3 linked regions of the Sus scrofa genome follow. The protein of the gene in region 2 interacts with the protein of the main gene of each other region in a biochemical or structural test. Links are inferred from orthologs where the notes say so. Each region holds a gene or a part of one and is shown on either strand. Other genes may lie near its edges.

The links. The genes of interacting proteins can lie anywhere in the genome.
Region 1: the proteins of RPS6KA1 (region 2) and ARHGEF11 interact in a test that uses a peptide from one of them, tested with the Homo sapiens proteins (2 studies listed by BioGRID and IntAct). The link is inferred for Sus scrofa from reciprocal best matches to the Homo sapiens genes RPS6KA1 and ARHGEF11.
Region 3: the proteins of RPS6KA1 (region 2) and GRASP interact in a test that uses a peptide from one of them, tested with the Homo sapiens proteins (2 studies listed by BioGRID and IntAct). The link is inferred for Sus scrofa from reciprocal best matches to the Homo sapiens genes RPS6KA1 and TAMALIN.

What each region holds. Positions count from the first base shown.
Region 1 is NC_010446.5:93,143,977-93,151,520, reverse strand, and holds part of ARHGEF11 (rho guanine nucleotide exchange factor 11), read right to left. Parts: intron 4,981-7,544; coding exon 4,801-4,980; intron 4,714-4,800; coding exon 4,666-4,713; intron 4,456-4,665; coding exon 4,268-4,455; intron 3,987-4,267; coding exon 3,840-3,986; intron 3,575-3,839; coding exon 3,495-3,574; intron 3,403-3,494; coding exon 3,277-3,402; intron 2,812-3,276; coding exon 2,694-2,811; intron 1,599-2,693; coding exon 1,420-1,598; intron 888-1,419; coding exon 812-887; intron 498-811; coding exon 330-497; intron 1-329. UniProt on the Homo sapiens protein: May play a role in the regulation of RhoA GTPase by guanine nucleotide-binding alpha-12 (GNA12) and alpha-13 (GNA13). Acts as guanine nucleotide exchange factor (GEF) for RhoA GTPase and may act as GTPase-activating protein (GAP) for GNA12 and GNA13.
Region 2 is NC_010448.4:83,925,520-83,933,063, reverse strand, and holds part of RPS6KA1 (ribosomal protein S6 kinase alpha-1), read right to left. Parts: intron 6,938-7,544; coding exon 6,831-6,937; intron 5,567-6,830; coding exon 5,529-5,566; intron 5,186-5,528; coding exon 5,043-5,185; intron 4,429-5,042; coding exon 4,358-4,428; intron 4,065-4,357; coding exon 3,976-4,064; intron 3,005-3,975; coding exon 2,940-3,004; intron 2,680-2,939; coding exon 2,577-2,679; intron 384-2,576; coding exon 253-383; intron 1-252. UniProt on the Homo sapiens protein: Serine/threonine-protein kinase that acts downstream of ERK (MAPK1/ERK2 and MAPK3/ERK1) signaling and mediates mitogenic and stress-induced activation of the transcription factors CREB1, ETV1/ER81 and NR4A1/NUR77, regulates translation through RPS6 and EIF4B phosphorylation, and mediates cellular proliferation, survival, and differentiation by modulating mTOR signaling and repressing pro-apoptotic function of BAD and DAPK1.
Region 3 is NC_010447.5:17,358,068-17,365,065, forward strand, and holds part of GRASP (general receptor for phosphoinositides 1-associated scaffold protein), read left to right. Parts: coding exon 1-353; intron 354-2,430; coding exon 2,431-2,480; intron 2,481-4,097; coding exon 4,098-4,152; intron 4,153-4,256; coding exon 4,257-4,359; intron 4,360-5,791; coding exon 5,792-5,885; intron 5,886-6,006; coding exon 6,007-6,073; intron 6,074-6,283; coding exon 6,284-6,350; intron 6,351-6,747; coding exon 6,748-6,998. UniProt on the Homo sapiens protein: Plays a role in intracellular trafficking and contributes to the macromolecular organization of group 1 metabotropic glutamate receptors (mGluRs) at synapses.

The DNA of each region.
Region 1 (7,544 bases), on a different chromosome or scaffold from region 2:
TCCTGCCCTTCACTCTTGTCGCAGAAAGGCTTGTCCCTGCCCAACGCTGCTCACTCTTCCTCCTCAGCCCACCCTAGATGCCCGGATCCCATCCTGCATCAGGTTGTCCATCTTCATCTTGGTCCCCCCATCCTACCCGTCACCCCACACCATGCTGGACCACATCCTCCTGCTTAGATGGGCCAGCGTAGGAGGAAAGGAACAAATAGGGCCAGGAAGTTTCGTATGGCCCCAGATCAGCCCCGTATCACTGAGTGCTCGCTGGACATGAGTAACAGGGATCATGGCCCCGAGGCCTGGGCCAGCTGGGACCATCTCCTCACGGGTACCTGTGGCCACAGAGCGGATGAGCACGGCATTGAGCTTGAGCACGGGGCTGAAGGTCTGCTTGCTGTCCGACGAGCCCACGGCCGTCTTGCTGTGGCACTTGAGCAGCAGCTTCTCATCCTGTTTCTGCAGCAGCACGAGGAGGTCCTCCAGCAGCAGCACGTGGAGGTCTGGAGGGATGTGGTGCTTGTGAGGTGTTCCCTGTTGCCTGCTCACCCCTCATTGACGCATGGGGTACCAGAGGCTCTTGGACGACCATCCCCAGGGTCTAGGAAGCCCTGGAGTCTGGTGACCTCCGACTCCACTGTTTTTGGTCCTCCCTCCCCAGGCTGTGCTGAAGGAGCCCTGAGCCGTCATCTCCAGTGGTGTTTCAAGCTGCCTCTCCGGCCACCTTACTACCTCTCCAGAGACCCAGATACAGGGCTTATGATCGGGAGAGGGGACAGCCTAGATCCCCTCTCAGCCCCGGGCCCCCTGCACTTACCTAAGGTCTTATCCTTGCTGATCCTCCAGGTCAGGGGCCCCTCGTGGATCATTTTTCTGGCTGTAAGATCTAGGCTCTGTTAAGGAGACACCATTCATTTATTCACCAAGTATCTGAGAACGTGCTCTGGGCCAGACACTGTGCTAAGGTGCTGGGAATCAGTGGCAAGCCCAGAACAGTCTGTGCCTCACACTTATGTGGGGATGCAGACAAGTCAAAGGTCACGTGCCAAGTGCTGGGGGACACAGTCATGGCTCTGGCTGGGGCCTCTCGACTGCCTACCACCTGCGTCTACCCTCCTAAGACGACTCTCTGTACCTGCCCATCCCTTCGGCTTTATTCCCTCCCGAATGACCTTCACCTCCACCTCGAGTTTACTCCCATCCCCTGCTCGCCCAGGCCGAGTTCTCACATGTAGCCTTTACGGTGGGCCTGTAGGCTCTTGTCTCTTCAGGGATGGGGGGACAATGGTCAGAGGGACCCCCTTCGCCATCCCATCACAGACAGCCCAGGCCTCCTCCCCGCCCTGACCCGAATTCTGCCCCAAGGGGTGCCCGAGAAGTACGTGTGCACGTGGGGCTGACGGCGCTGCAGCCTCTGCCTCCTACCTTGAACTCCGCTGCCAGGGGGTTGCTGGCCCTCTCCAGGGAGGTGGTATCCAGGCGTTTCTGGTAGCTCTCTAGACGGTGCCGGTTCTCCGTCTGCTTCACAGCCTCGTTCACGTACTTGAGAATTTCTCGGCACTGATCCCGGGCCCGGCAGAGTTTCTCGTGCTCAGTGGTGCCACCTACCCATCGAGGTAGACAGGAGGATGTTAGGGCTCCTGCCTGAGAAGTGTGTCAGGGCCCAACAGTACCTGGCTACCCACAGCCATGGTGACTGGCCTGTCACAAACCAGCAGGTATGGGCGTAGACACGCCACCCTTGCCTAACAGTATAAGGATAACTCATACCGAGGGTCCCTGGGTTTCAGAGCACTGCTGATGGCTCCCAGGAATTCCTGCCTAGACCACAACGAGCTTTGTGGGGTGGGGGTGGGAAGGAGGGGGGCTTTGGGTAACGGTAATGATGGTGCCTCCCTCTAGCAACACCTGTTCAAACCAGACTGCAGTTCTTCCCACTTCTACATCCAGACATCGATGGCCCAAATTTGAAGGTGGCGAAAAGGTACTCAGGATCCCAGGGACAGTGGCAACCTGGGGCTAGACTTTCTTTTTGGCACTCCTCTGGAGTAACCACGCACAACTGTATCTTTAGTGCACTGCGCAGAGATGTCCGGCGGGGGGATGGATGGGGTTAAAATCCAGCCAAGGCCTCTGGTGGGGGACCACGATCATCAGAGGAGCCGCGGCGCCCCTGTGTGCCAACCCGCGTCCGATCAGAGGCTTTCCACTGATGTGCAGAGGCCCCACAGAGGCCACAGGCGGCCCTTCCCTCCTCCTGCTACTGAGCACCTAACTTTTGCCATTTATTTATTTATTTATTTACTTTTGGTCTTTTGTCTTTTTAGGGCCGCACCTGTGGTACATGGAGGTTCCCAGGCTAGGGGTTGAATCGGAGCTGTTAGCTGCTGGCCTACATCACAGACACAGCAACGCGGGATCCGAGCTGCGTCTGCAACCTACACCACAGCTCACGGCCACGGCGGATCCTTAAGCCACTGAGCGAGGCCAGGGATCAAACCCAAGTCCTCATGGATGCTAGTCGGGTTCATTAACTGCTGAGCTATGAGGGGAACTCCCAAAGCACATTTATAATCATCTTTTTTTGAGACTGACCCTGACAACACAAGGATGAAGACTTGAAGACCAGAGAGGGCAAGTGACTTGCGCAGGTCACAGAGCAAGTCGGTGCTAGAAGCAGGGTCTGAGCTGAGCCCTACCTTCCGTGTGCTTGATGATGTTCTCCAGCAGCAGAGGGTACTTGGTGAGCCGCTGCATCTCGGAGATGATGAGGTCTCTAAGCTGCAGCCGCCGGCACTGAGGGTGGCTCTCGGCCTCCTGGATGGAAGGAGGCACAGAGAAAGATGTGAGCCCAGGGTAGGAGCTGGCCTGCGGCTCAGGACCCGGAGGAGGGTGCAAATGCCAGACAGGTCCTAATCCCAGAGGGTCACTGAGAAGTAGTGGTGACAGCTTCTTGCTTAAATACTTAGAGTGAGGTTGGTGGAGGTGGGGCGACAACAACCCAGGAAGGGCTATGGTGAGGGGGCCCTTCTGACGGCAAGTCCAGAGCATCTGTCCTGGGGGTGGGTATGTGTCGGTGTTTCTGAACAGCAGGGTGGGGGAGGGTGTGGAGGGTGCAGCAAGTTGCTGGGTTACCCTCCCTGGCAGAGACAAGAGGCCAAGGCACCCAGAGCTGGGGCCGGGAGGAGAGCTGGGGAGACGCCGGGCGAATTAGTTAACTTTCCCCCTCAGCTCTGCTGCGCTGTGACTGAACTGGCTGCTTTTAGAGGCAACGAGCAGCACCTGCATGAAGAGCTGGAACCGGCTCTCCTTGCGCTGCCTGGTCTTGATCAGCTCCAAAGCGATGGACTGATAGGAGCAGAACTGCGCGGCCACCTGCTGGAGCTCCTCCCGGGCAGGGCCGTCGAACTGAGAGGCAGAACAGACACCACTCGGCCTCATACCCCTGCCTGGGACCCCCTGCCCCCACCCCCCGCCTCCTCCAGGCCTGGTGGCCATACCCGGGCCAGCATGAGGTCACTGATTTCTTTGATGATGGGGCCCTCCTCCCGGAGCTTCTTCATGGCTTCACACCAGGAATCTGGGGCGAAGAGAAGAGACACAAGTGCCTGGGGTGAAGCTGCCCGGCCGGGCTCTCTGCGATGAGAGAAGTGCCATGGGGAAGGGTCCGGAAGCCATTTCACTTATGGGGGAGCTGGAATGCTGGCTTCAGGCTGAACATCAGGTTCTCCCACCAAAGAGGACTGGCGGGGCCTATCTGCTCAGGGAGGGGGTGGGGGCGGGCGAGACCAGAGCAGGAACCTGAAGGCTGGCCAGGGAAGGGGGAGGCGGGGCGGGCTCCTCACTGTGGATCTCGATGAGCTCGGGCAGGTTGGGGAAGAGCCGGGCCAGCTCCTCCCGGGGCAGTAGGCCCTCCTTCTTCATCCGCTGGTAGAAGATCAGGTCCAGGACCCGGAGTGTGCGCAGATGGGAAGCCTCTGTCACAAACAGCTCTGAGCGGGGGTAGTGACGAGGAGGGGCAGAGAGGTGGGAAGAAAACCAATTAGCAAGGATCTAGAGTCACAACTGAGACCTCTGAACCCCTATACCTTTGGTGCTGGTTTCAGATGGCGCATCAACTCCTCTCTCCCCAGGGCTGGCGAGAACCGCAGCATCGACAGTCCTGCCCCCAGGGCCCCATCCTGTGTTCTCTACCACCCTCTGCATCTGAGATGCTCTGCACCTGTTCCCACATGAGTTGGGGTGGACGGGGGGAGGTGGAGCTGGTCCTCACCGTTGATGACCTCCTGCCGGTCAATCTCCCTCTGGCTTAGCCCAGCCACCACATCCTTGCCCACTGTGTGCTGCCAGTTCTGGGCATCTGGCTCTGGCTCCAGATCAGACAGATGGCCCAGATCATCTTCCAGGAGGTTGGGGAGGAGGGCATCTGTGCAGAACCCCAAGCTGGGGGACTCAATACTCCTGGGGGAACAAGCAGCTCAGCATCACTCGGAGGAAGAATGCAAACGTGGGGTTTTTCCTTCCCTCTCCTGCCCCACCTGCCTGCCCTGGGCCTATGGGAAACCAGCAGGCCACGAAGAGGAGCTGCACCACTGACCAGCCACTGGAAGAGGGCAGGGGCAGCCGAGCATGGCGGGGACACGGATACCTACCAGGCCTGTCCTCACTCACCTACGGCCCATTTTGGGGGTGAAGGGAGGGGTTGGGTTCTCAAGAGACCTGTGGAGAGAATGTCAACTCTCAGCCACCCTCTGCCGCTGCCCCCCGACCCCCCATCAGCAGGCTGAGCCACTGAGCCCTGACCACCTGGTGGAGAGGCTGGAGGCAGAGGACGAGGCTGACTGGTGGAGGCGGGCGGCCTCTGCGGCGGCGTCCATGTCCACGTCGCTGCGAGAGCGGGGTACGTTCTCCGCCTTCCGAGACCGCTTCATCTCCTCCCGGCCCTTCAGGCTCTCAGAGCGGCCCAGGCGAATCTCCGAGCGTGAACTGGATGGAAAGGGCAAGAGGCCTTGGGATCCTGTATCTGGCCAGCTCTTATCTGCTGCCCCATCTCAGTGCTGCACGCATCCACCCCAAACACCAAACCAAAGGACCCGAACTCTGGCGGCAGGTGCTGCTCAGCTGACAAACCGCTTTTGCTAACAGCTCCTTCTCCCCAGCCAGGCGTGAGGGGCATAGCCTCTTCACTTTCCTCATGGCAGGTCAGGAAGGGATCCTAACAGGAAGGCGAAATCTGGGACTAACCATCAGACTTGTGGGGTGTCCAGATGCCAAAGACCCTGAGGCCTCAACAGGAAAGCTGTGGACACTGAAGTCCCTCATCAGGGACCACAAGGGCCCACCCTCCCTGCCCCTGGGCCGTCTTGTGGCCAGCCCATCTTGCCCTCTGCTTTGACTTTTTTTTTTTACTGAGTCTGTGGCATGTAGAAGTTCCTGGGCTGGGGACTGAACCCGAGCCACAGCAGTGACTACAAGCCACAGCAGTGGCAACGCTGAATCCTCATCTGCTAGGACACCAGGGAACTCCCACCCTCTGCTTTGGAACAGAGGCTGGGAGTTCATGTCCTGCCTCGGACTCTGCCTGAGGTGGATCTCTCTCCTTCTACGAGATCTTTTACAAGCTCCACCTTCACACAGTTTTTTTTGTTTTTCTTTTCCCCCCCTTTTTTGGCCATGCTTGCGGCCCGTGGAAGTTCGCAGGCCAGGGATCCTTCACACTCTTTCATTCTCCACACTGCCTTTCAGAAATTCTACCTGCTGTTGGATTCCTACTCCTCTAGTTGTGATGTGGGTTGTGGGTTTCTTCCATTCTTATCTTGAAGGCATCCTTTCTGGGCTTCCAGGCCCCTCCTGGGAGCAGATGACTCAGGAGGGTGCTGACAGGGGCCTGTGTACTGATGGGCAGGAACTTGCTCCCTGGCCCGCCAGGCTTGACCACAGAGGGTCTGTGGGGCCTGGCGAGATGCTGACGACTGGGTGCTGCTCTTTTTGAGTCCTGCAGGGCACCAGCCCTGTGACAGCCGCCATCTCTGACCCCTAGCTGCCCCAGGATGGTGCCTCCCCCCGTGGCCCTGCTGGGCTGGTTCTTTGCTGACATTATTACTCATCTACATCCTGCTCTGCCTCTAGGACCACAGACGGCCTGGAGAGTCTGGAGGGCTCTTAAGAGCACAGCAGGTTGCTGCCATGAAGGAGCCAAATGGCTGGGTCTCCATTTCTCAAGTCTCTCTGAGCTGCCGGAGGCCCCAAAATGCCGCTCCTCCCTGGGTCTTGAGGGTTCGTCTGCAGGATTAGAAACCATACTAACAGCTGATTCCCTATTGAACTCACCCCCTGAAGTCTGTTAGAACAATTCCGACACAGACTAACTCCAAACACTTTCGCCAGTGCCCATGGGTCACTTTGGTGTCACAACAAACCTCATACAATGGAGGTTACTGGTACCCAGAAGCGAGGAACGTTCCCACCAACAAGCGAGGTATTCAACCCATCTCTGGCCTCAAATTCCTAAACCCCTGCCCAGAACTGGGGTGGGTGCGGGTGGTGCTTCTACCTGTTTAGTGTCTATGACGGCCTCTGACCCACCATTGCTGCCGATGCCACTTCTGAACTTGTCAGGGAGCTTATAACCATCAGATCCAAAGGCTGCTGCTCAGTACATTTGGGACCATGTCTCAGGGCAAAGTTACCTAACGACTTTCAGGGCACAAGTTTACAAACGGTCCCAAGTATCTTCTCCAGGTGTTGACAGTCTATCTTCTAACTGTGTATCTGAAACATCTATAAAACCATACCCACCCCAGCAATCACATCCTTTGTATATTTAATCTACCCAGTCCTATCAGAACTCAACCTCTCACCCGAGTGCAGATATAATCTTTATCCTGCCTAAATCTTTGTTAATTCTCACTACTGCCAAAGTCTTTAACATGTGTTAAACTTATAAAGACTTAGTATTACAGAAAGGAGTAACCTCGCATATGAGCAGGAGTGTCTGACTTAAGAGTTTGGTAAATGGTTATTTTGGGGGTGAAATGCTTTGACCATCTGGGCTGCTATGTGCTGCCTTGCTTCTGTGCAGCATGTGGTCCAGCTTGGCAGTGTACACGGGAACTATTTGCATATACACAAGACCGCATTTATGCTACCTCAAATGTGACAGAAAGAATGTGCAGGGATGTTTCTGACTACAGGCAGTTCTCACTTTAAGTGCTGGCTGTAGAATTTTAGACATGACTTGATGGCTGTCATGTCACAGTCAAGACCAAGTCAAGTCCAAGTGTACGTTTCAGTGCCAGAGCAGGGTTCTCATTAGAACCCGGCCAAAGATGGAGAATGTGAGCAATGCCACAGCCTCTTTCCCCCTTTTTCTTCTTGAAAGGAGAAGAGCAGTTTATTTTGGATCAATGAGCTTTGGATTTCTCTGCTGAGATGGACATCGGATGCCCAAGTTTAATCATCTGCCTTTAAAGCACCCAGCAGACCTCTTCTCAAGCTCTCTTCTCCACGGGTGCCAAATACGATCTTTAGCCTGATTTTCCGATTTCCCA
Region 2 (7,544 bases):
GACAGTCCCCAGTATCACCACCCTGGGTCCTCCCTGGCATTTATCCAGACCCTACAACATCCTGGCTGTGTCAGGAAATTCACATCCATGTCATCAACCCTGCTCTACAAATGGGAAAACCCCCAGAGGGCCCCACGGTGGTGTCAGGGTTTGAACCCAAGTCATCCAAGTCTGAGCCTGTGTTCTCAGTCATCCTGTCTTGTGGCTTCTAGGTGGAAAAGGACAACTGGGCAGCCGTCTCCTGCCCCTCACCTGTACCACCGAGTGCAGGGGCGCCTGCGTGGCCCGGGGCTTGCCGTCATCCTCCATTAGGCCAGTGGCCACGAAGCTGAAGCCACGGAACAGCTGATGAGCACCAGCGCTGGGGGGGATGCCTGGGGAGTCTGCAGGGGCAGGACAGAGATGTGAGCCGGAGGAGGTACCCTTGACCCAAGGCAGCCCAGCAACGTGGAGCCCAGGGTTTTCAGGCTGGTCTCAGCAGCTGGTGGTGGTGGGAGCCAGAGCAGGAGCCCTCACCCCAGCCTTCGTTAGCCCATCTGTCCATGTGTGCTTAGCCCGGCCCAGCCCTGACACACCAGGAACACAAAGACCCTCATGTCAGAGTTTCTGCTGTGACGCAGTGGGATCAGTGGCATCTCTGGAGCTCTGGGACACACATTCATCCCAGGCACAGTGGGTTAGGGATCAGGTGTTCCCTCACCACGGCATAGGAGCATAGGTGGCAACTGTGCCTCCGATCTGATCCCTGGCCCAGGGAAGGCCTTATGCCATGAGGAAGCCAAAAAAGAAAAAAAAAAAAGACCCTCATATCCACCAGCACCCACCCAGGCCAAGACACTTCAGGCCCTCCTGGAGGCCTCCCGCCTCTGGTCTGCCCCTTCAGGTCCATCTCCTGTGCAGCAGGCAGAGGACTGGTCCCAACCCTAAATCGACCCCCTGCCTGTGCCCCTCACGTGCTCCCGTCTGCCCTCATGAGACAGCCCAGAGCCTCAGCCTGGCAGTGAGGTGCCTGTGATCTTAGCCTCCTCCCTCCTCCCCCAACCCCAACCCCACAGCTCAGCCACACCAAGCTTCTTGGATCCTTCAAGGAGACTCCGTGCCACTGCACATGCTGTTCCTGCTAACTATACAACTCATTCCTTGTCCTTCCTTTGAGGCTTGGCTTCGACCCTGTCCTCTGAGAAGCCGGGCCTCATGATGCTCCTCCAGCCCCTTGTGCTCCCCAGCAGCGGTTCCCACGTCTCTTTTGCCACCAGAGCCTGAGCCATATGAAGGCAGGGCCTGGCTCTGGCTTGTTCACCCTCAGTGCCTCCCATCGTTGGCACATAGTAGGGACCTGCTATATATTTGCCAGGTAAACAAAGATGGGGCAGACTGCTCAGAGAAGTGCTAAGCTCCCTGACACCACAGGAGTGCAAACCACAGTGAGAAAAACTCCCCTGTGGAGTTCCCATCGTGGCTCAGTGGAGACAAACCTGACTAGCATCCGTAGGATGAGGGTTTGATCCCTGGCCTCGCTCAGTGGATTAATGATCCGGCGTTGCCACGAGCTGCAGTGTAGGATGCAGACGTGGCTTGGATCCTGTGTTGCTGTGGCTGTGGCGTAGACCAGCAGCTGTAGCTCTGATTCGACCCTAGCCTGGGAACCTCCATATGCCTCAGGTGCAGCCTTTAAAAAAAGAAAAGAAAAATACACCTCCTACTAAAACCTGCCCTCCGGAAAGAATACTCTTCACCAATACCTGACCAAAAGGTTAGGATTTTTTTTTTTTTCTTTTTGTCTTTTTGCCTTTTCTAGGGCCGCTCCCACAGCATATGGAGGTTCCCAGGCTAGGGGTCTAATCGGAGCTGTAGCCACAGGTCTATGCTACAGCCACAGCAACATGGGATCCGAGCTGCATCTGCAACCTATACCACAGCTCACAGCAGCGCCGGATCCTTAACCCACTGAGCGAGGCCAGGGATCGAACTCACAACCTCATGGTTCCTAGTCGGATTCGTTAACCACTGAACCATGACGGGAACTCCCCAAAAGATTAGGATTTACCAAGCTTCCTCCTAGAAGCCCCCTCCTTGGCTTCCAGTGGTGACCACCACCCTTGACTGAGTGGGCCTGTGACTGGGCCCACGCTCCAGATGAGTAGACTGAAGCCTAGCAGTGAGAGTAGCCAAAGCTGATTCCCACGCTTGCCCCTGATCTGGGAGCGTTGTCACCTTTGCTCTGCCAGACGGTCTCCACCTCACGTGTTTGTTGGGTCAGATTCTTTAGCCCTGACGTGACTGTGTCTGGTCTTCCCAGTGGCTGAAGAGGCCCGGGGCAGGGGTCCTGACTTTTCTGTTGTGGCCTTAATCGCCCACTCACCCCCACCCCCTCAGCCAGGCACAAAGAGGCCCATAGAGCCCTGGAGTGGGACAGCCAGGCAGGATGAGATGGGGACAAAGAGTGAGAGACCCACACGCCTGTCTGCCCACACACCTGGGCCTGCCAGAGCCCTGACCACCCCTTCGTCCCCAGGAGCTCCTGTCGCCCTGCTTCCCACTGTACCAGCCCAAGACAAACCAGACAAGGGACGCACCCTTGGGCGTGCGGGACGTGAACTCGGTGTCAAAGTAGAAGGTATCATCGGGTTGTGCCACGGCCGGCTTGAAGGGTGGCTTGATCTCACGCCGGTACAGCTTCTGCAAGGTGGAGCAGGCAGCCTGCTCACCACGGCCCCTCCACAGCCCGCCAGCAGCCCCGTGCAGGAGGAGCGAGGGCCTAGAGCACAGGCTACGCAGACAGGGCACAAGTGCTGGCCCTCGGGAGGCCAGCCTGTGCCTCCAAGGCCATGCCGTCACCTCTGGGCCAAGCAGAGGCCCTCGTCAATAAAAGCCCCCTCCCGCCACAGTCGAAGCCCTGCTGTGGTGGGGCTCGGGGGAGGGGGGGGGCAGACACTCACGTTCCAGTCAATGGTGGAGTAGAAGACATGCCGCTTGATCTCCTCGGCCCCGTCAGGGCCCGAGCCTGAAAGAGCCCAGATGAGGGGTCTGTCCCTGGGTGCTCCAAGCCCCAGACACCCGCCCTGTCCGCCGAGCAGCCTCACTGTGGTCTAGGACCAGTGGCTGGAACATGGGGGTGGCCGGGCTCCATCCAGCCATCATCCCAAGGTCTGCTGCCCCCCAGCATTTTCCACTTCCTGGAGCCCCTTTATTATCAAGTTCCAGGGTGCGGATGGGAGAAGGCAGGCCCAGAGAGGCCCGGCAACTCGTCCAAGGCCACACAGGACAAAGGCTGAGCCTGTTCCAAGATCTGCAGGGGGCCCCCACCTCCCTCCCAACCCAGGCCTCATCTCCTGCTCTTGTCCCCTTACCCCTGGCAGCCACCACACAGCCTCTCACTCCGCTTAAGCCCAGGGACCTGGGTGGGACCTTTCAGAGCCCAGCATGGTCATGGTCCAGGTGAACCCAGGAGCCAAGGAGTCAGCACACACTGAGCAGCTACTAAAGGCATGTTTATGCAACCTCATTGAATCGACAAAGCTTGAGACCATTGTCGCCCACGGAGACAAGGACTGGGGCTCCAGGGGGTGAAGTTAACTCCCCTGAGTCACTTCGCTCATAAATGGCGCTCATTCGCTGAACACATATTTGTAGAGGGACCACTGTGTGTCGGGCAGGGGGACCTATCATGGGGAGCCGAGCCTCTGACGCCCGAGCTCATGCTCCGTCTCTCGTGCCAGCAGCCTTGGCGGAGGAGCTGTGTGGGGGCCTCTGTCCTCATCCCCAGGGCGAGTGGAGATGACTCAGTTCCTGCCTTCCCCCTACACACAGGTCACCCCCCTGCCCCAAACGCCACGCATGGAGCCAGAAGGCAGGGTGGCCGGCGGCATTGTCTGCCCACACAAAGGACAACGGCCCCTTTCAGCCCCAGATGTGGCCCCGTGGCCTGGGCCGCAGCTGTACCCTGCTCCCCTCCCCTGAGCAGGGGTTGCTTACCGAGCCGGTTGGCAGGATTCCGCTTGAACAGGGCCCGCAGGAGGCTCTGGGCTTCCGTGCTCAGAAACTGGGGCATGCCTAGCTTCGCCCTGAAACAGCCCGCAGGCCTCGTCAGGGCTGAGCCCCGCCCCGGAGGCCCCGTCTCGCCTCCCGCCTCTGTCCAGGTCTAGCTTCCAGCCCCTTCCAGACAAGCCATCCACGAACTCCCCTCCCAAAGACTCAGGGATTCCCCTCCCACGGGCCCTGGTTGGTGAAAAGAAAGCCCTAGAAAGCATAATGCTTGACCCAGGAGTGTCTCATTAATGGGGAATCTGAACTCTGGCACCTAAACGGAAGCCGGGCGTAGGGGAGACTGAGGAATCACAGAGCGGCTGCATCTTACTTCAGAATCAGTGTCATGGTCTCTTTCCGATCCTTCCCCTGGAAGGGCAGGGAGCCCGTCAGCATCTCAAACTGCAGAGGACAAGGGTCTGATCAGGCTCTGGTCCCATTTCCCATGCCGCCGCCTCCTCCCACCCGGGCCACTCAGCTCCATTCCCAGGATGCCTGCCTGCCAGCTGGAGGTTCACCTGGATCAAGAATTGTGTCTGTCCCTCTGTCAATCAGATCACCAGGAACTACACTATGGGCCCCAGGCTAGGGGCACCCCAGATGGGGCCAAGCCTGGAACCCTCCCCCCTTTTTTTGTCTTTTCAGGGCCACACCCACGCATATGGAAGTTCCCAGGCTAGAGGTCGAAACAGCTGCAGCTGCTGGCCTACACCACAGCCACAGCCACACGGGATCCAAGCCATGTCTGTGATCTACCTCACAGCTCACGGCAACACTGGATCCTTAACCCACTGAGTGAGGCCAGGGATTGAACCCGCATCTTCATGGATGTTAGTCAGGTTTGTTACCACTGAGCTACGATGGGAACGCCAAGCCTGGAATCCTTTTAAGGAAGGAAACTGCAGCTGGGTGGGGGTGAGGCCAGCTCAGCTGTGAGAGGACAAAAGAGCCTTAGAGACCATCATGACCCCTGACTATTTAGATGGGGAAATGAGGCCCAAGGCCTGGGCACTCACCATCAGCACCCCATAGGACCACCAGTCTGCACTGTGGGTGTGGCCCTGGCGGTTGACGACCTCGGGGGCCATGTACTCCACTGTTCCGCAGAAGGAGTAGGCCTTCTTCTCGTGGTCAATGGCCTCCTTGCTCAAGCCGAAGTCTGTGGCAAGGAGGGCAAGAGCACACATCCTCAGGACCCCCTGCCTTCCTCCCGCCCCTCCCTGCCGCCCACCCCCTTGCCCAGAGGCCTGAGAGCATCACCTCCGTGACACTCAGGTGGAAGCTGAGGCCCAGAGAGGTTAGGCGACCTGCCCAAGGTTACACAGTGGGGAGCTGGGATCTAAACCCAGGACTTTCTAGGTCTGGGTCCCGGGCTTTTGAGCACATCCAAGTGCCTGGCACCGCCTCTCAGGAAGAACAGATCCCCTAGGACTCAGCCCAGGCCCATCAAGAGCCCATCCTGCCCTCCCCTGAAGCCTGAGGGGCAAGCGCCCTCCACTCACCAGTGAGCTTGATGTGGCCCTCCTCATCCAGAAGGATGCTGCAATGGAGAGATGGGAGTCAAGACCCCTCAGCCATGGGCCCTTGGAGGGTGCTGGTGACACCTTGGGGGCTGTGGAGGTTGGGCCCAGCCCAGAGCAGGTGGTCCACCCAGGTCCATCTGATGAATGGGTGGGTGGAGCGGGTGTTGGTGGTGCTGTGCAGGTGTGTTGCCTACCTTTTTGTTAATTCTTCTTTTTTTTTTTTTTTTTTAGGGCCACACCCGCAGCATATGGAAAGTTCCCAGGCTAGGGTCGAATTAGAGCTGTAGCTGTCAGCCTATGCCACAGCCACAGCAATGCAGGAGTCGAGCCGCATCTGTGACCTATACACCAGCTCATGGCAATGCTAGATTCTTAACCCACTGAGTGAGGCCAGGGATCGAACCCGAGTCCTCATGGATACTAGTTGGGTTTGTTACTGCTAAGCCATAATGGGAATTCCCTCTTGCTAATTCTTGAAACAACTGTGTGAGGTAGGTACTTTCATAGCTCCATTTTTTTTTTTTTTTGGTCTTTTTTTGCTATTTCTTTGGGCCGCTCCCTTGGCATATGGAGGTTCCCAGGCTAGGTAGGGGTCTATCGGAGCTGTAGCCCGGGGCCTACGCCAGAGCCACAGCAACGCCAGATCCGAGCCGCGTCTGGAACCTACACCACAGCTCACGGCAACGCCGGATCCTTAACCCACTGAGCAAGGGCAGGGACCGAACCTGCAACTTCATGGTTCCCAGTCGGATTCGTTAACCACTGCGCCACGACGGGAACTCCCTCATGGCTCCATTTTTTTAACAATGGGGAAACTAAGGCTCAGGGGGGTGAAATAGCTCCCCCTGGTCATAGAGCCAGGCTGGTGGAGGCAAGATTTGAATTTGGGTTTGCCTCACTCTAAAAGCCAAGTCTCATTCTACCTCAGCACCTGCCTCTGGCTCCCAAGTTCCACTTAAGGATATTTAGATGTTAAGGAAAATTCTAGAAAGGATTATATCAAGGAATATCCTTTAATGGGGGCATCTCAGATGTCACACCAGGGTAGCAAAATGGTAGGTAACACCCAGCTACCGAGGAGACTGGTCCTTGGTAATGGCAGCGCTAGTGATCAGGCAGCCCACTCTGCTCCACCCACCCATTCATGGGGCAGCCCAAGACAGGGACACTTTCTTGGGGAGAGTCACACCCACCCCTGTTAGGCTGGCTCTGTCCTAGGAGAGACCCCAGGGCCTGCCTCTGAACCCTAGGGAGGCCGGGCGGGGCTGGGCCTTCACTCACTTCTCAGGCTTCAGGTCTCTGTAAATGATGCCTAGGCTGTGCAGGTGGTCCAGGCCCAAAGCCAGCTCGGCCAGGTAAAACTTCACATCCTCCTCCGTGAACATAACCTGCAAAAGGCAGGAGGGAGCTTCAGCTGGATCGCCTCTTCCTCGGGAGCTGGGGCACTGCGCAGTCAGCAGCTTCCTGGTCCTCCTTAGGGATTCCAGGGCCACACACCCTTCTCTTTATGAAGGGGTTTGCAGAACGAAATGACTAATATCCAAGTCACTCATGGGAGCATTGAAATGCAAATAGCAAAATCCTGGAAACAGCCCAAGGGTCAAGCAGCAGACTAAATGACTCCCCCCACATAACGGAGTGCTATGCAGCCGTAAACCAGAACAAGGGTTCCTCCATGTTCTGATACGGATCCATCTCCAAGACATACTATCATGAAAAAAGCAAAGTACAAAACAGTATATATGTAAGAAATATATATTGTATGCAAGAAAGTAGGGGGTCAGGATTCAGAACACAGGCTGAATGGGTTTGTATTTCCAAAGAAACGTGGGAAGCTTAGGCAAGAAATGAATAAAAATGTTTACCTATGGTGGGGGTTGGGGGTATGGGGCTGGGGTGGGAAGAAGACATCTCAATGAGTATCCTTTCTTTTTTTTTGGGGGGGGCGCTTTTTAGGGCTGCACTTGTAGCATATGGAGGTTCCCAGGCTAGGGG
Region 3 (6,998 bases), on a different chromosome or scaffold from region 2:
CCGAACCTATAAAGGGAGGCGACCCACCACCCTCCCAGCTGGCATCTCCGAGCCGTCGCCAGCCCCACCGCGCACACCGAGGGGCACCGGGCGCCGGAGCCATGACCCTCCGCCGACTCAGGAAGCTGCAGCAGAAAGAGGAGGCGACGGCCGCCCCGGACCCAGCTGCCCGGGCTCCCGACTCGGAAGCTGCGCCCGCTGCTCCGACCCCGACCCCGGCCTCAGGCCCCCCTGCCGCAGCCGCCAGCCCTGGGACCCCTGGGGACGAGCTGTACGCGGCGCTGGAGGACTATCACCCGGCCGAGCTGTACCGCGCGCTCGCCGTGTCCGGGGGCACCCTGCCCCGCCGAAAGGTGCGTACCCCCCAACTCCCACGGCCCCCCAGCCCTCGGCGCCATCCGATGTCCCTTCCTCAGGGTCCGCGTAACCCGCAACAGCCCCCATCCGTGCCTGCCGATCCCTATGCACTTCTAGGGTCCCCGAGTGCCTCTCCATTCCTCACCAGCCCGCTGACCCCCACGACACGTTCAGATCCTGCTGGGTCCCCTCGGCCCTCTGCCCAGAAGGCGCAAGCTCCTCCACCCGCGGCCCCGGCCCCCCGCCGCCCCCGAGCTGGGCGGCTCTCCACTCCCAACGCGCCGCCGCCCCGGTCGCCCCTCTCCTTCCTGCCGCCTCCCCAGATCCCCTTCTCCTTCAGCACCCCCAGCCCCACCTCCCCAAGTCCGGTGTCTCGAGGCCCCCAGGACCCCTTGTCTGGGCTTCTTCAGTGGGAGTGGGGAGGCCTCGGGCTGGGGTCCCGCCTCTCGCCCAGACAAGTTGAGGGTCCGCCGGCCCCGGGTGGGGAGGAGGGCGGCGGACGCGCCGCGTGCCTTCTCTCCGGGGAAGTGAGAGCGGCGCCGCCAACTCCGAGAGCTCACCCTTCCGAAGGGACGCCCGGATTCCTGGGCTCGGGGCCTGCCCTGCGTCTGAGTGCGGGGCGTGAGGCCACCGCTCCCTGGACGTCAGCCGCCGCGACCGGACGCGGTGGGAGGGGAAGCCGGGCGCCCGCGGGGCAGGAAGGATGCGGGCCGCGCCCGCCCTCTGAGTGGCCCCCGCCGGCGGGCTCTTTCCTTTGGCCTGAGGGGGACCCGAGCGCTCTGAAAGGAGAACTCAAGACCCGGGTTCAGGAGAGGGGGCTGGTGGCCTTTCCCCTCTCAGCTCCCCCCACCCTTTCCCCTGGCTCCCCCCACCCCCAACACAATGAGCAGCTTGTTGAGAATTTGCATTTTATGAAAATCGGGTGGAAAACAAAGGGGTCTCTCTATGTTGCCCAGTCCTTCCCCCCCTGGCCCCTTTGGGAATTGTCCCCACCCCTGAGGCCCATCTTTGGTTCCCAAGAAAGAGGGTTTCCTTCTCTTTCCTCCTTGGGGCAGCCTGAGGGGAGGTTTAACAAGGACACTGACCAGGAAGGCCTTGGGCTGTTTGGGGCACACAGAACAACGATGGACCTGGGCCTGGACTTTTTCCCAGGAATAATAATTTAGGGAGAGAGACTAGTTTTTCAGGGACCCAAAAGAAGTAGGGACCTTCCGCTCTGTCATCCCCCACACCAAAAACAAAACAAAGCAGAAAAACCAAAAAACACCCAAACTCCCAATCTCTCTCCTTGAGAATAGTGAGACTTAAGGACAAGTTTGAGATCTAAGTGGGGTTTTTTTGTCCCAGAAAACAACAAAATATATGGCAAAATTGAAAGGCCCGGGTGGAGCTAAACACAGCTGCCACTTGCAGCTGTATCCAGAGCTGGTCCCTGAAAAGGTCTGTACTTTGGGGTCCCTCTGTCCCCTGCCTTTCCATGCTCAGGCTGAAACTGTCAGCCAGCCCTCCACACCTGGCCTCTGACCCCAGCTCTCCCAAGCCACGCTCTGCAGCTGATAAATTAGGAGGAGAGACCCATGTGGTCCTGGGGGCTCTGGAGTATCTAGACAGGCAAGCCCAGGGGCCTCCTGCCCCTCTCTGAATAACACCTGAGACGAACCCTTGCTTCAGCTGGTAGGGTCTAGGGCTCCTGAGCCCCTGTAGATACACGCCCTGGGGGTGGAGTCTCTCCTATCTAGATTAATGACCCCCCCACACACCAGACTGGGAACCAGCACAGGGCTTCATGCACCCAGCACCCATGAGGGCTGTTGTGTCTCCACAGTCCTGGTTATGGGGGTGGGTAAAGCTTGGGGAGAAAGTTATGGGGATACTGACAGTGGCACTCTGCAGGTAGCTACACCAGCAGGAGAGCAGATGTGGAGCTGGGGCCGGGTAGACGGGCAACAGGGACTGGGATGCTGGGTCTGAGGCCAGAGCCCAGGCGAGGAGCTCCCCAAAGGCGGGCTCTCAGCATCTGCTTCAAGACGGCTCCCTCTCACCTGCTCCTTCCTGATTCTCCTTCCCACCCAGGGCTCCGGATTCCGCTGGAAGAGTCTCAGCCAGAGTCCTGAACAGCAGCGGTGAGTCACCGTTACCCCAGCCCCTAGACGGGTCCAAAAGGGTGAGGTGCTGGGGTGGGGGCAGCACGACACAGCATCTCAGGCCAGCCAGTGGGGAGTCACGCTCCTGCCCTTTCAGCACGGCTCCCTCACTGAGAATGGGGGGCAGGTGGGGGTGTGGGCTGTGTCAGGGGGGTGGCAAAGGAAGGAGGTAGGCACTTTTGAGTCATCAGGTGCTCCTCAAGCCGCCCCCAGTCCCTGCCAGGTCCCCCTCCCTGGAGAGAGCTGCTCTGGGGGGGGGGGAAGCAGGAGAGGTCTTTGGGGCTCAACCGAGCCCTCCCAGCCCCAGCAAACCTCGAGGGCCCAAACCATGTTCCAGCTGCTCAAGTGGAGCGGCCCCTGCCTCCAGAATTTCAGTCCTCTGCTGGTCCCATCCTGGGGCAGGGGTGCCTCTTAGGAAGGCTTTGAGATGAGGGCAGAAGGAGGTGCTGACTCTGGCCCCACTCTGCCCATGTCCCATCTTGATTCAGGCCTGGCTTCTTCCAGAATGGATCAGCAGACTATGGCCTGCTGGCCAGGTTGGCCTGACTGAGCCTTGAACTAAGAGTCCTTTTTATATTTCTAAAGGGCTCTAAAAACAAAAACAAAGAACCATGTAGGACAGAGGCTGTCCACTATTTTAGGTCTCAAAAAGAAAGGCTAAAATGTTTTCTGTCTGACCCTTTGCAGAAAAAGGTTGCCAGTCCTTCTAGAAACCCAGAGAGCCCTGGAGTAGATACAGCAGTCACCCTGCTCCCCACCCCAACACACACAGAGGGGGAAAAGCCTGCATTCAAAGCAGGGAGGAGCTCAGGCTGGGGTTGGGAGTTGCTGCTCTGCTCTTGGGCGGGAGGGTATGCGGGGCAGGTTTGGGCCCTGAGAGGCCTGGGTCTCCAGGGCCTTTCTGAGGCCACGAGGCGGCTCGAAGGGGCCTTAACTCTGCCTCTGGCAGGCCGGGAAGGAAGGGGATGGGGGTGGGCAGAGGAAACTCTGGGCTCCCCCAGCAGGCGAGGATCTGGAGCAACTCCAGACCATTGTGTCCAGTGGGCAGGCCGTCAGTCAGTGCGGGAAGGGGCGGCCTCGAGGCTCCCCTCCCCCCTCCCGAGCCCTCACATCTGGTGGGCTGGCCCCACCGCAGCTGGGAGGAGCAGCTGTGGTCTGGGCCCGAGCCTCGTGACCGGCCTCTGGGGGTGGGGCCAGCCCTCTCCCCAAGGCTCCGGAGCCGCCAAGGAGCAGAGGACGCCCTAGGCTGGGGCCGAAGTGGGGGCCTCAGCTAGCCAGCAAGTGGTATTCTGGGGCTCACTGGAAAGCTGGGCGTGTGGCCCAAAAACTCAGCTAGCCCCCCGGGCCCCGGGGGCCAGGCATTCCTGTGCCTCCCTCTCCAGAGGCTGGATTGATTCTGTGTGGCTCCCTGAAGCTACCTACGGTCAGCTACACATGGGGAAGGACGTGCCGGCAACCTGTGACCCGTGTGACATGTCTCTGGGACAGTGAGCCCGGCCCAGATGTTCCGGAGCAGACCCCAGCATCAGTGGGGGCCACGCTCTGGGACCACCCAGCTCCTTTTAATCCTGACAGTCTTTCCTGTGTCTCCTGCAGGAAGGTTCTGACTCTGGAGAAGGAGGAGAACCAGACCTTTGGCTTTGAGATCCAGGTGGGAGAAGCGGGGTGCTGAGGAGGGGAGGCGCGGGGAGGCCAGTCTGCGGGATGGGTGGATCCTGTCCCAGCCTTGGGCTGAGGGCCCCCTGTGTGTTACAGACTTACGGCCTCCACCACCGCGAGGAGCAGCGTGTGGAGATGGTGACCTTTGTCTGCCGGGTTCATGAGTCCAGTCCTGCCCAGCTGGCTGGGCTCACACCAGGTGAGGCCCGAGCCCAGGACGCAGGGCTCTGGGAGGGCGGTGTGACCCTACTCCCAAGCGGAGGGGGCAAGAAATCTCATCCGAGGAGTTCCCCTTGTGGTGCAGCTGAAACGCATCCAACTAGTATCCATGAGGATACGGTTCGATCCCCGGCCTCACTCAGTGGGTTGAGGATCCAGCGTTGCCGTGAGCTGTGGTGTAGGTCGCAGACACGGCTCGGATCCCATGTTGCTGTGGCTGTGGTGTAGGATGGCGGCTACAACTCCGATTTGACCCCTAGGCTGGGAACCTCCATAAGCTGTGGGTGAGGCCCTAAAAAGAAAAAAAAAAAAAAAAAAAAAGAAATCTCTTCTGAAACCACTCCCCCTTTCCTCCTCCTCTTTTGAGAAGACCAGAAAGAAAGAATGGATTGGATCCAGGCAAATGTGCCATTTACTGCGTGATCTTTAGCAGTCCCATCTGCAGACTGGGGGCAGTGACCTGTCCTCACCTCGGTGTAGTGAGGGGATTCCCTGGGCACAGAACCGAGCCCTGGTAAAGGCACATGCTGCTGCTGTCCTGCCTCCTCCTGGCCATCTGGCCATCTGGCCATCAGGCATGGACAGGAGTTGGGGAAGGAACAACATTCCATTAGAGCCGCTTAATACTGGGGATCAGGGCCTTACTTGGCCCCAACCTGGCCCAATACTTCCTCTAGCAAGGAAATGGTGCCTCCAGTAAGAGACCCTTGGGACTGGCCAGATCTAGAGTCCCAAGTCCCAGGAAGGGGCAGCCTGAGACCACAAGAACTGACCTCCTGTCACCATTCTCTTCCCTAAGCCCTCACCTCCTGGCCCGTTGCTCAGCAGCCCCAGGGAGCTAGAGGGGTTCATTGCAATTTTGCAAAGGAGTTTCAGCTCCACTCTCCCTTCTAATCTCAAGGGTAGCCATAGCAGGGATCCCCACCGCTTTTCCGGATGGGAGATGAGCCCTCAGAAATGGTGGCCAGCCCTGCCTGAGCTCAGGAGGCTCCACGGTGGCCCAGGGCATCAGAGGCTGAGGCCACTTATGCCTGGGGCCAGTGTTAGTTCCCAGCTGGTTGCTACTCACCCAGCCCCCTTCCTGTCTGCTGGGTCTCATGACAGCCTGTGGGCTGAACCAAAATAACCAGCTCTGGGGGCAGCCCAGGCTTGAGGGGAGGGCTCAGCCCTTGAAGACGGCGCTTCCTGAGGGTGAGGTGGGGCGGATGGGTGGGGGGGGAGGTGTCCGAGGCCCTGGCCCCTGTGCTGGGGTGTTGGGCCTGGACCAGATCTCCTCAGAACCATGAGTGGGGGTAGGGAGTACAGGCAAATTCTATGGGGTTATTACCCCTAACCTTTCTGGAGAAGGTAAGGGGCTGAGATTCTCCCACGTGCCCCACGGAGCAGATGCCAAGCCCCTCTCTGCCTGGCAGGGGACACCATTGCCAGTGTCAATGGGCTGAATGTGGAAGGCATCCGGCATCGAGAGATTGTTGACATCATCAAGGCGTCTGGCAACGTTCTCAGGTAAGTCCAGGTGCCTCGGTCCCTGGCAGGGGAGGGGGGGACAGGGGACCTGAGCTCAGCCTCCCTCAGAGTTTCCCCACCCCCTGGGCTCACTCAGCCTTCGATTCCCCAACCTCCTCAGACTGGAAACTCTGTACGGGACATCAATTCGGAAGGCAGAGCTGGAAGCTCGTCTGCAGTACCTAAAGGTAAGGCAGCCCAGAGACTTGCTGCCGCCACCACCTCCTCTTCCCAAGCCCCTGCCCCTGCAGGCCCGGGTCTCTTTTAGTTTATCTTCCTGGACCTCCTTTTAACCTAAAGGTTTCTTCTGTGTACTCCCTGATCCCTCAGTCTGCAGCCACCTCCCCCCCTAGTTGCTTGCTAGCTCCTGACAGCGAGGCGGGGGGTGTCTCTTGCAGCAAACCCTGTATGAGAAGTGGGGAGAATACAGGTCCCTAATGGTGCAGGAGCAGCGCCTGGTGCACGGTGAGTAGAGGAGGGCTGTGCCCGGTCACTGGCACCCCTACCATACCGTCTTCCCTGCTTCCCGCTCCAAAGTTAAAGAAAGCTGCTACTACCGGTGCAGCGCTGTAACATTTTTAGGTAATCCTTATACCTGTGCTCTGAGGAAAGTGCTAGATCCCGCCATCTCCATTTTACAGATGGGAACACCGAGGCTCAAAGAGCTTGTTTCAGACCCCTTGGCGGCTCTTGTGTCATCAGTGGGCCTCATAAAGCTCTGAGTGTCAAAGATCCGCTTGAGGGAGGTGGGGGCTCAAGGTTGTGCCCCGCCCACGGGCCACGCAGACGGTCAGGAAGGAAGGAGCCAAGGTCTCCTGCCCTCGCCCTCTGACGGTCCTCCCTCGTGTCCTCCGCCCCGCAGGCCTCGTGGTGAAGGATCCGAGCATCTACGACACGCTGGAGTCGGTGCGCTCCTGCCTGTACGGCGCCGGCCTGCTCCCGGGCTCGCTGCCCTTCGGGCCCCTGCTGGCCGCGCCCGGGGGTCCCCGCGGGGCCGCGCGGCGGGCCGGGGGCGACGCGGACGACGCCGTCTACCACACGTGCTTCTTCGGGGGCGCCGAGCCGCCCGCGCCGCCACCGCCGCCCCCCGCGCGCGCGCCCGGCCCGGGCCCC